Linked DNA regions of Callithrix jacchus. The protein of the gene in region 2 purifies or fractionates together with the protein of the main gene of each other region. This does not show direct contact. Links are inferred from orthologs where the notes say so. Each region holds a gene or a part of one and is shown on either strand. Other genes may lie near its edges. The genes, in order: YWHAE and MARK1.

Evidence for each region.
Region 1: the proteins of MARK1 (region 2) and YWHAE purify together in Homo sapiens (affinity purification with mass spectrometry; 3 studies listed by BioGRID and IntAct, with this or other methods). This does not show direct contact. The link is inferred for Callithrix jacchus from reciprocal best matches to the Homo sapiens genes MARK1 and YWHAE.

The regions. Positions count from the first base shown.
Region 1 is NC_133506.1:66,852,588-66,858,923, reverse strand, and holds the start of YWHAE (14-3-3 protein epsilon), read right to left. Parts: upstream 4,368-6,336; 5' UTR 4,256-4,367; coding exon 4,192-4,255; intron 1-4,191. UniProt on the Homo sapiens protein: Adapter protein implicated in the regulation of a large spectrum of both general and specialized signaling pathways. Binds to a large number of partners, usually by recognition of a phosphoserine or phosphothreonine motif.
Region 2 is NC_133520.1:8,038,737-8,044,570, forward strand, and holds part of MARK1 (serine/threonine-protein kinase MARK1), read right to left. Parts: intron 3,095-5,834; coding exon 2,994-3,094; intron 1,735-2,993; coding exon 1,570-1,734; intron 488-1,569; coding exon 233-487; intron 1-232. UniProt on the Homo sapiens protein: Serine/threonine-protein kinase. Involved in cell polarity and microtubule dynamics regulation. Phosphorylates DCX, MAP2 and MAP4. Phosphorylates the microtubule-associated protein MAPT/TAU.

The DNA.
Region 1 (6,336 bases), on a different chromosome or scaffold from region 2:
ATAAAGGTGAAAAAGGTGCCAGGCATGTCTATAGTGGTAAGAATTTACACTTCACAGCCGGGTGTGGTAGCTCACTCCTGTAATCCAAACACTTTGGAGGCCAAGGCAGGCAGAGCACCTCAGGTTGGGAGTTCAAGACCAGCCTGACCAACATGGTGAAACCCCGTCTTTAATTAAAAAAAAAAAAAAAAGAATTTACCCTTCACTGCAAATTGCAGTGATTCTTGATTTCATTATATCCCAAATTTGTGAAAGACAACTAAATAGAATGAAATATGCCAAATACTTATACTATACAAAAGCCTAAAGAATACATGAAAGAGCATCTGCTTTAAATATACAGGCTACTTGCAGAAGGGATTTTTTTTGGGGGGGAGACGGAGTCTCAACTCTGGCACTTAGGCTGGAGTGCAGTGGCATAATCTCAGCTCACTGCATCCTCTGATTCCCAGGTTCAAGGGATTGTACTGCCTCAGCCTCCCGAGTAGCGGGACTAGCAATATTTTTGTATTTTCAGTAGAGACATGGTTTCAACTGTGTTAGCCAGGATGGTCTCGATCTCCTGCTCTCATGATCCACCTGTCTCAGCCTCCCAAAGTGTTAGGATTACAGGCGTGAGCCGTGGAAGGAATTTTTAACACTACATTGCCCAGTTCTGTCTATGTATTTAGGTAGGAGAAAATCTTTTCTCCAAAAGTTAGTCCATTAACTGAAATGGCAATGGAAAATTGCTGGCCTATAGTCAAATAATTAGTAGTTAATCTAAATGCTTCTAAATTTATTAACAAAGTTAATTTACTACTACCCATATTTTCCCTAACAGGACTGTAGTAAAAAGTTCATTCCACACATGCTCCCTCTCCATTCTTCACTAACTAGCAGAATAAGCTAGCTGGAGGTGAGGTTCTGGTGTTTTCACAGGACAGCTCTCAAGTGACTCAACAGATGCATTCCTAGTGAATCAAAAATGACCGTCAAACTTCATCCTACCTCCCATGCAGCCAATCTTGACAGGGAGAAGATGAGGAAAGGACAAAATCAACAGCTGCTGCACAAGCCCAAATGCAGTTTATGTTGCCCCTCTGCTCCCCAAAATGGGGAAACTATTCATTTTTCCCCTCTATATTGTCCACCTTCCCCCCCTCCCCAGTGTCGCTCTGTCGTTGCCCAGTCTGGAGGGCAATGGCACAATCTCGGCTCACTGCAACCTCTACCTCCAGGGTTGAAGCAATTCTCCTACCTCAGCCTCCTGGGTGGCTATGCGCAGCTAATTTTATTTTTGTAGAGACAGGGTTTCACCACATTGGCCAGACTGGTCTTGAACTCCTGACCTCAGGTGACCCACCCACCTTGGCCTCCCAAAGTCCTGGGATGACAGGCCTGAGCCACCGCACCCAGCCTATTCCCCACGTTTTTGTACCAATTTGTATATGGGACGGTAAGACTTACTTGAGAAATGTTAAATGATGGACTTGCTTAACATGGTTTTAAACGATGTAAAAACTATTCCTTAGACCACTAGCTTGTTAAAGTAATGAGATGCTAGATGTAATCTTCAACTCCTAGCCCCAAACTTCAGTATTTCCTGTGACCCAAAATTGTCCTTTTCCTGAACACAACTTAACTCTTCCTCCCGTACCATTAAATAATCCATATAAATTGATTCCAATGCCCCAGGACAGAATTAAATGAGGCTACAAAGAAGTTTAGGCACTCGTTTAACACAGCAAGCAAAACAAAATAAACCTACTGCAGTACAGGGAGATAAGAGCGAAGGACAGCTGGAAAACCAGCACTTGCATACAAGCACCCAAAAAAGAAATCCTGCCAATACTCTTAGCTTCTTCCACCAGTCCCACCCCCTCCCCACACTTGATCAATTCCATTTGGTGACTAGAACTAAGGGAAAAACTTTTTGTCACCACAAACAAAAAAATATTGCCCTAAATAAAGGAATGGACAAAGACAGAGGCCGATTCCTGGTGTCTGTCTCCCCTCCCCTTTCTACTGAGTCCTTACCTTATGCCCAAGTCACAGGAAGAGCTCCTCACCTTGGAGATCTATTTTCCTACCGCTTTAGATGCTGAAAGGGACACCTAACATTAATAACTGCAATATTGTGGCCGTATCAAAGAATCCTACGTTCAAAACCCAATAAAGGTTCTGGTCAGAAATCCTCACGCCAAAATATAACTACAATAACCTGTAATTTATTTGGAAACTACAATCATAAGCTTTCCAATCGGTTTAAAAAAAAAAAACTCACATTCTTTCTAGTTACCACAGCCAGTTTAATTAAATAGCCCCAATCCCCACAAAACAGAAAGCATTCAAGTATCATTTGTTTCCTACGGAGAACACTAATAGATGAAGAGGGGAACATCTGGAGATGAGGGCGGAGGGGAGTCTTCCAATATAAGCACACCTATTTGTTTGATTTTTCAACACTGAAATAAAGAGAGCTGACCTTGAGCTGTACTTCCCCATTTTATCCCTTCCCTCCCCCAACAGCAACTTTGTTCAATACAAATAACAAAGAATTTACAAGACGAAATTTAGTTCAGCATATTTCGTATATTTGAGCTCTAGAGGACTTGTCTTATTTTCAAATCCCTGAATCCTCATTTCTGATAATGGGAACCAGCCCTGAGGTTATTCACATGACCAAATCGGCATTTCCAGGAAAGCAATGGCCCTCTGAAACATTTTGAAATATAGGTAGCTTAACCAGGAAAAATCTCACATCAAGGACACTAGATTCCAACCATGTCTCACCCCACCGTACCATGCAAAAGCATGAAAACCACAGCAGCCGCATACAGGACTTCTGGTTTCGGTAATACCACAGTATCGAAAAATTCTAAATGTGAGGGAAATTCAAGTCTACAGGTCAAAAAAGGTGGATGGGGGGGAGGATGAAGAAGAAACTTCCTGGCAGACACAATGGATATTTCGATCAAGTTCTGAAAGAGGACTGAAGAACCAATTAAGGGCAAAGGGACAATGAGCAAAGAGGAACTACTCAAAGTCCTACATAAACCCACTTATTTAAAATAAAAAATAATAATAAAAAAAAAGAATAGGACCTCCAACCTTCATAACTCAAAGACCCCAGGCCCAGCCGAGTGCCTGGAAGAGGCAAAGGTCCCCCACGAAGTACAAACCCGCATTTCGAGCCTGCAGAGTCAACCAAAATACAGTTACTAAACGCTACTGGAAACAACTTTATTTCAACAGGTCTTTTTTTTCCCATGTGTCATGAGGGTGCGGACAAACTGTAAAGTCATCGTTTTCCCAAACGCGAGGACGAAGGCTCGAACCCAGAGTCGCGCAGCCCCCTGGTCTCCTGGTTCCATCCATCAGAACCCGCTGCTGACGGAGCCAGAGAAAGGTTACAGGAACTTCGAGCTTCACCATTTAGAGCGCGGAAAAGGGGCGGGAGCCCGGATCTTCTGGACCTCCCCGGAAGGCGGCGAGGGGGGAAAAGCCCGAAACCCCTCACTCCGCGGCGCCGGCGGACGCAAAACAAACCCGACCGCGGCCCCGCAGCCCGCCACCGCCCAGGACCCAGAGCAGCGATGCTCGCTCGCCCGCTCCCCGCTGTCACCCAGGGCGGCCTCCCGACCCAGGCCCGAGGAAGCGCATCGCGTTCCAGGCTCTCCTTTGTGAGACTCCACGGCCGCCGCCCCACACGAAGCCTCCGGGGAGAAGCCACCGCCCCCACCCGCCATATTTCCCTGAAAGGCGCCCGCGCTACAGCTCCCGGTCTTGGCGCTCTCCCGTGTGGAGGGTGCTGCTTCCCCCGTCACCCTACCCAATCGTTCTCCACCTCCCAAGGCCGTCCCGGAAGCTTCCCTGGGGGTGGCCGGTTCCGCGGCAGCGCCCGCCATCTCCTCCCCCTCCCCCGCCCCGGGATTCGCCCTCCCCCCAGCCGCCATTTTACAACCAACTCCTCCACCCCGGCCTCTCGGCCCGCGAGGTATGTGTAGCTGAGGACAGCGAAGGGGTCACATTCCGGGGCACACGGCCTCCCGTCGCTCCGGGAGTTCCCAAGCCAGGTTCCGCTCCCCGAACCCAAGTCCCCGGGCCACGCTCGCGGACGATGCCGCCATTTTGTCTCCCGTTCCCGGCCTCTGTGGGCGGCGGCAGAGGGTCCAAGAATTCCAGCCCCCCGTTGCCCCCACAACTCACCGTCGTATCGCTCAGCCTGCTCGGCCAGCTTCGCCTGGTACACCAGATCCTCCCGATCATCCATAGCGGCAGCGGCTCCGGCAGGGTCTGCGCGACGGATGGAAACGGATAGTGTCTACGACTCTCTCAGCCTTTCGCTCCGCGTCCGGGCAGCAAAAATGGCGGCGCCTCAATCCGGGACTTCCGCCTGCGCACGCGGACAACTGCTCAGCTCTATGGCAACCGCTCCCTGGCAACTGGCGCGGGGGGCGGGTCCTGGAACCTGCGCCGGAGACGCCCCTCCTCCGTCCGCTCAGCGGGCGCCGGGGCCTAGAGGCGGGAACTGCGACTGCCGCGAGGGAGCGGCCCCCGGGGAACACGACGGCGGTGGCCAGGCCGGCCCGGGCTGCTCCTGAAAACCGCGGGCGCGAGACCTGGGCCAGACTGACGGCCGACGTCCGGCCTGCGGAAAACCACCACGGAGGCTGGGACGGTTTCTGTCATCATAGCAGGTCTTCCTGCCTGAAATCAGCGCTGTTTCTACCGCGCCCTGGTTTTCTTTTTCCTTTTTCTTTTTCTATTTTTTTGAGATGGAATTTCACCCTATCGTCCAGGCTGGAGTGCGATGGCGCGATCTCGGCTCCCTGCAACCTCCGCCTCCCGGGTTCAAGAGATTCTCCCGCCTCAGCCTCGCGAGCAGCTGGGATTACAGGCATGCGGCTCCACGCCCGACTGATTTTTGTACTTTTCGTAGCGAAGGGGGTTTCTTCATCTTGGCCAGTCTGGTCTCGAACTCCTGACCTCAGGTGATCCGCCCGCCTCGGCCTCCCAAAATGCTGGGATAACAGGCGTGAGCCACCGAGCCCAGCCAGCGTCCTGGTTTTCTCCGCCAAGCCTGGTCGTGGGCCTTTTGCAGACACTTTTACCCTCAGGGTAAAGAGCTGGGCCCTGGCCCCGGCGCGGTGACTCACTCCTGCCATCCTAGCAGTTTGGGAGGCCGAGGCCAGCGGATCACTGAAGTTGGGAGTTCAAGACCATTCTGGCCAACTTGGCGAAACCCCGTCTCTACTAAACAATGTACATATGAGGCGGGCGCGGTGGGGGGCGCCTGTAATCCCAGCTACTCCGGAGATTGACGCAACAGAATCATTTCAAACCGGGAGGGGGAGGGTGCGTTGAGCCAAGACGGCGCCATTGCACTCCAGCCTGGTCAACAAGAGCAAAACTCCATCTGAAAAAAAAAACAACACTGGGCCCTATTACAGTTGGCAGGGACAGGGGAGCTGCAGTTTTCACGCCTCCACTTTGCCCTCACACTCATCTTTATCTTCTCCTGTTTAACCTTTTTTCCCCAGAGGCTGCCATGAATGGGAGCAGGGAAATTGTTAGAAGAGGATGGTGTGGAGTACATAGTATAGAATAGTCGAACTGAGATCAATTTAAGATTGAGGAGGCAGGAATAACTCAGGGAACATTGCTTCAGTGCCTGGGCCTTGGGAGGCTGAGGCAGGAGAATCACTTGAGCCCAGGAGTTTGAGACCAGCCTAGACAACATAGCGAGATGCCATCTCTACAAAAAACTTTGTTTTTAATTAGCCAGCCATGGTGATGTCACCTGTGGTCCCAGCTACCCAAGAGACTTCGGTAGGAGGATTGCCTGAGCTTGGGAGGTCCGGGCTAAAGTGAGCCATGTTAGTGCAGCTGCACCCCTGCCTGGGCAACTGTGAAACCCTGACTCAAGAAACAAAACAAAACAAAAACAGAAAGAAAGAAAAAGGTAGGGCCCAGAGTGGTGGCTCACACCTGTAATCCCAGCACTTTGGGAGGGTGAGGCAGGTGGATCACCTGAGGTCAGGAGTTTGAAACCAGCCTGACCAACATAGAGAAATCCCGTCTCTATTTAAAACAATAATATACCTGTAATCTCAGCCACTCGAGAGGCTGAAGCAGGAGAATCGCTTGAACCCAGGAGGCAGAGGTTGTGGTGAGCCAAGATTCCCCCATTGCACTCCAGCCTGGGTGACAGAGGGAAACTCCATCTCAACAATGACAACAAAAAAAAAAGGTAGGTTAGAATCAAATTGTGAAGGACCTGGGATAGTAAGAAGTTTAAATCAATTTTTTTTTTTTTCCGAGATGGAGTCTTGCTCTGTCACCCAGGCTGGA
Region 2 (5,834 bases):
CTTTACATTTTATTTTATAGATTTTTAAAATCTCATTTTGTCCATTTTTTTCTTTCTCTTAAGGAAAAAGACTTTATGTCTTCCTAATTTTTTTCTTCCAAATCTGTAAAAGAGCATCTCTAATGAAATGTTATAAAACCACTTTGGAAAATTATTATAAAGATTTAAGAAAAAAGTAATTCCCTTTGTAATTTCTAGAGGAAACAAAACACGATAGTACATTGGTACTGACCTGCGAACAAATTTGGATGTGATTTTGCTTATTATACCAGTTGACGTTCCCCTTCTGGCATGTGCAAATGCACCCGTTTCGTGGGATGGTGAAGCAGGTGGCCCATTATAAGCAGCGCTGCGTCGCTCCCGGAGCTGTTCACCATGGAAAGTGCTTCGGCTTGAGCTCCCTCGGGGAAAGCGGGTCCGGTCTGGAGTCGCAGTACTAATACTGTGAGCAGATGGGGAAGCAGCAGGCACTCTCTGGGTTGTACTGCTGGGACAAATTAAGATATATCATTTAGAATAATGACAAGAAAACCTTTCACTCATGCTAAAAACTTGAAACAAATGGCTATGGCTACTTCTTTTGGCCCTACTTTATTTGTTCGCATTACAGCTGTGAGACATGAGTTAATTTTATTTACTATATCGTTGGAGAGGAATAAAATTTCAGACTGAAACTAGGTACCTTTTGTCTGGTGACTAAAAATTAAGAAATGACTGAAACAGGGACACAAAGATGAATACTCTTCAGTATCAGGAATCCCAAACCAGGGGTAGTGCAAATATTTTTTTAATATTCTCCTGAACCACTTAGCAATGCTGAACACAAATTTTATTGTCTATTAAAAAGACATTGAATAAAGTAATTTCCCATTTCTAATTTAGGCTTCAGTGATGGTACACCACCACATGGCACTACCAATATGCTTAACAAATCTAACAGAGGGTTAAAATATTCAGAAGTACTGAATTTGAGAAATCCTAAAATAGAAAAATACTAGAAAACCAGTTATATAATTTTATACCCGAATCGGCTCTTGAGTTCATCAATTTCATTGACAGGAAAACTGAAGCCCTGTTTTTTTAAGAACAAGGAACTGAGCCTGATCATTACCCAAAGGTCTCAACTCCAAGTTTAGTGCTTGTTTGGATATGTTTAAATCATAAAAAAATCACTTTACCTAAGTGACAAATTAAGCAGCAATATTTAACTTTATAGATGGACTTAAAACCAAATCCTTAAAAAAATTCCTCTAGAAAATGACTCAAGTTATATGCAACATTTCCAATAACAGCCAAAGCACACAGAAAATTTATGATACAATTCAGTTTTTCCTCTATTACAAACACTGAATCTTGTCAGAAAGGTCTTACTTAATGTGATGGTGACTATCATGTATTTTCACACGGTACTTTATATTTTTTTATTTTTTATTTTTTTGTAATCGCGTATATTTAGAATTTTTTTTTTATTTTTTATTTGATTTTAGGTTTTGGGGTACATGAGCAGAACATGCAAGGTACTATATATTTTTAAACAGTGAACAAAATGAAATGTAACCAGCACATTACCCAGGCCGGTAAGCTTCAGAGCCGTCTTTAATGGTTGGCAGTGTGACTTTAATAGGATGACCAGAAGTAGACATGGACTTCTGGTGGCGGGGTCGTGCTGAGGGGACAGCAGAGGCCACAGAAGAGCCTGCAGAAGATATGCTACTCACAGACATCTCTGTAAGGCTTTTGTCAAAAAGCAGTAGAGAAGACCATGGAAATGTAAAAAAGAAGAAAAATTGTGGTTTACTAAAATTTAAGAACTATATTTTTAAAAAATCTAAACTGAATAACTTCTCATGACTGAAATATTTGAAAGAAACTAACATTAACAGCAATATTAATGACTGACAAAAAATTAATATTCTTATGAAAAGTATCCAGGGTAAATGTATCACTATCATCCATGAAAAAAATCTCACACACACTTACTCTATGTATGTAAATGTGAGAAAGCATAAAATTCTTTTTGTGGAGATACAATAATTTCAGACAAAATGATTATGACTAAGTCATTTTTTACTTCCCCAAAATCACAGTTTGGTGTGATATGTTGATGTAGTTCATTGTCCATTATTGATACAATCAGAATTGGTAATTATACCAAAAATATTATCTCTGGATACATCAACACACTTTTAGATCATATCATGAGTCAATAGGTTAACAGTGGCAGATAAAAGGAGCCGCAGCTTAAAATTTAGTACCGGAAAAATCGTAAGTCTGAAATCAATTTCCAATTATCTTATCTGCAAAGAAGATAGATACAGTTTTCTTTGCTTGCCTTACAATAACACTTACTTTACAGTCTTATCAGGTGAGACTGCTTTGTACACACTGCTGAAATGATGGAAGGTGGATCTGAGGAAAGAATGTCACTAGAACAGGCTCCAGGCCTTTGTGCTACATTGCTGAGCAGTCCTTCTGACTCATGACAGAAAGAAGTTACATTTTTTAAATAATAAAAATAATATGGGTTATAATTTGAAATGAAACACTTTAAAAATTATATGGTTCTGAATGATGAGAAATAAGATGGCCACATTTTTTCAGAGGGAGGAAGATAAAGTCTTTATTATTCAAATACAGTAATGACTTGATGGGAGGTGAAAGGACAGGAAGCAGCAGGTGCAGAAAAGAGTAAGATTTAAATTATGAAGATGAAATTAGGATGGTATGATCTGCTTTGCTACAGAAAAATATTTACTATCAGATTTTACTCAGAAATTGGTAGGTAAAGAGAATTATTTCCTGTTTTCTCTAAATGTTTTCCCACCCTTCTATCCTGGTCCGGAGAGATGTCTTAGTAAGAATGGTTGGCTGCAATCTTACTATTTCATATAGTAACTCCTTTTCCCTGGACGCATTCAGCCGCAGGCATTTCAGCAAAAGCACTAACAAAGAACAATAGCAAAGGTATTACTACTTGGCACTGTGGCATTTACCTGCTGTCTTTTCCGTTCTGCAATGCTGCATATCGATCTGTGGTCCTTTCACAGACATAAGTATTCCTTCTTGCCATGCTACCTCCAGAATACACATTGTTCTTTAAGAAGAAAAAAAGGCAATTTAAAAATTCTAAATATATTTGTGGAAAGTCAAAGAAATGTATTTAAGGAGATTTTGAGAAAAATACAGAATTTTAATTGATCCAAATCTTACATTAACAAGATTTTCCCCTTCCTCCCTCTCATTTAGCTTTAAGAAGTAAAAGACAAAGCATCAAAAATGAACTCATCAGTTTTAGCTTATCCTCCAATAGATGCCAGCAGTTTGAAAGCAACAGGAGAGTGGGGTTTCTATTCTCTCCCTCCTTTGTGAGCTGGTGGTGGAGAAAGGGCAGGAGCAGGGGTGTGAGCAGCTCTAAGTAACTAGGAGTGCAAGTCAACTCTACACTAAGTATCGTCACCAGCAGAAGCCTGGGGCAGTGAAGACGGCATGCCCACTCAGAAGCCTGTGGGCTGCCTTTCTTCACCTGCTTGAGAAACTCTCTCAACCACTGGGAATATTAAGCAGACTAAATGCCCTGGGATCAACGGCATGTCTGGCTGAGGCCACCAACAGTGTTGTGTGCAGTGCCACAATGAAGATATTTATTTCCTCAAGTCTCAGGTTTGAGCTAGGAGGCAGGCCATTTCTGAGGAGCTTTGGAGAAAAGAGAGAAAATAAGCAAAAAGGGATAGATAAGTCATTCTCCTTACCATGCACACAACCTCTGACCTGTAAACCCATTGCTGTGCCTGTCAAATCCGTGACTAGTTACTCACTGGTAATAAAATATACATAAATGATTTTCAGTGTGCATATAATACTCTTCTGTTTAATCCTTACTCCAACAAAACAAAAAAACTTGCTACTTTTGGCTAATCCAGCATTTAAAATATATAATCAACCTAAACATTGTTGAATCATGAGGGCTAAAAAGTGAATAGATATTTGCTTGAATTCACTTTGAAGAAGGAAAAAACTCATATAAACAAAACTATATAAATACAGATGTAAAATTTTTCAGTAATGCAGATTCCGAGATGGAAGGAATTTTGTCATCAGTTATATAAAAGCATATGTTAAAAACTATAAACTATGGAACCAAAGAGGCTAAGATTATTAAAATTCTTAAGTAAGACTTGGAACATGTAGGCCGATTGTGGTGGCTCAATCACAACATTTTGGGAGGCAAGGAGGGCAGACTGTTTGAGGCTAGGAGTTCACGAACAGCCTGGGCAACCCTGTCTCCACAAAAAGTACAAAAAAAAAAATTAGCTGGGTGTGATGGCACACATCTGTAGTCCCAGCTACCAGGGAGGCTGAAGTGGGAGGATCACCTGAGCCAGAGAAGTTGAGAATACAGTGAGCTGTAATTGCACCACTGCACTTCAGCCTGAGCAACAGAGCGAGACCCTGTCTCAAAAAGAAAAAAAAAAAAAGACTTGGTCCATGTTACTAAGACAAAGAAAACGGATTTGATTATGGAGAGATGCATTATGAAACTAACTTATACTAAAGTTCTCAAAAAAGCTAGAAATGTCATCCATATTTCATAGTTTTGAAGACACTGTTTCATTACCTGCTTTCCCATTTAACATGTCATTAACGTCCAGCCACATCAAGTGATACTAAAGTGTTACAGCTGTAGCCTATGCAACTGTACAGACATACCATATTTTATTTTAACCAATAAGTTCCGAATTTTTGAACACTTAAATTATTTCCTACCTTACTCTTAGAAGCTACGGACATTTAATTCCCTAGAAATTAATTGGAAATTTAAAATAGAGGACAAACCTGAAAGGCTGTAAAATCACCCCATGAGCACCAAATGTACCAATATAAAAATACGTGCTTTTGATAATCTCACAATTTTGGCCAAATTTTCATATAAATAACTTAATTCCTTGTCAAATCATGTTACCATACACCATCTAGAAGCTTTTAAAAGTGTTTCTGGCTGTTCTCAATGACATTTCTTTCCTTTTCAAAGGCTGATGGTGAATGATATCTCTCCTTCCAAGCTGTGTCTCTGAATTTGTACTCCTCCCACCCTACCTCCCTTGCTTTGAGTCTTCAATGCCAGTGACATTCAGGTGCAACAACCGTCAGTTGTATTTCCCCAGGGAAATTCAGAATTATGCAAAAGTTAGGGAAACGAACTGTCACTGCTTCCATTTGTCATACATTCACATATAAAACTAACTTTTATAGCTGACCTTCCTAGTTCAAATAAAAAAGCTCCAGAGATCCCTAAGAAGGTAAGGTTCATTCTGCGGAGGATTTGGGAACCAGGTGGAAACTACCCAGGCCGACTTTGGAACTCTAGTTTAGCAACTTCCCCAAACTGGAAACCAATCATGTAAACAACTTTTTGGAGATTCTTTCACAGTAAAGTGATTATATTTTATGAAATTATACCATAATTTTATATACAGTATTTAATACTTATTATAGTATTCTTAATTTTTAGTCTTCCTAAAAGAAATCTCTTCTTCCCCCTTTTTTTGGTTGTTTTAAATGCTGTTTTGATTTTTAAATCTTATTTTTAAATAAAATAAAATAAGGGGTACATTTGCAAAATGCACAGGTTTGTTACATAAGTAAATGTGTGCCATGGTGGTCTGTTGTACCTATCAACCCATCGCCTAGGTATTAGGACCAGCATGCATTAGTTATTTTTCCTAGTGCTCTCCCCCAACCTCCACCCTCCCCTGAAAGGCCCTAGTGTGTGTTGTTCCCCTCTCCGTGTCCATGTGTTCTCATTGCTCAGCTTCCACTTTTAAGTGAGAACATGT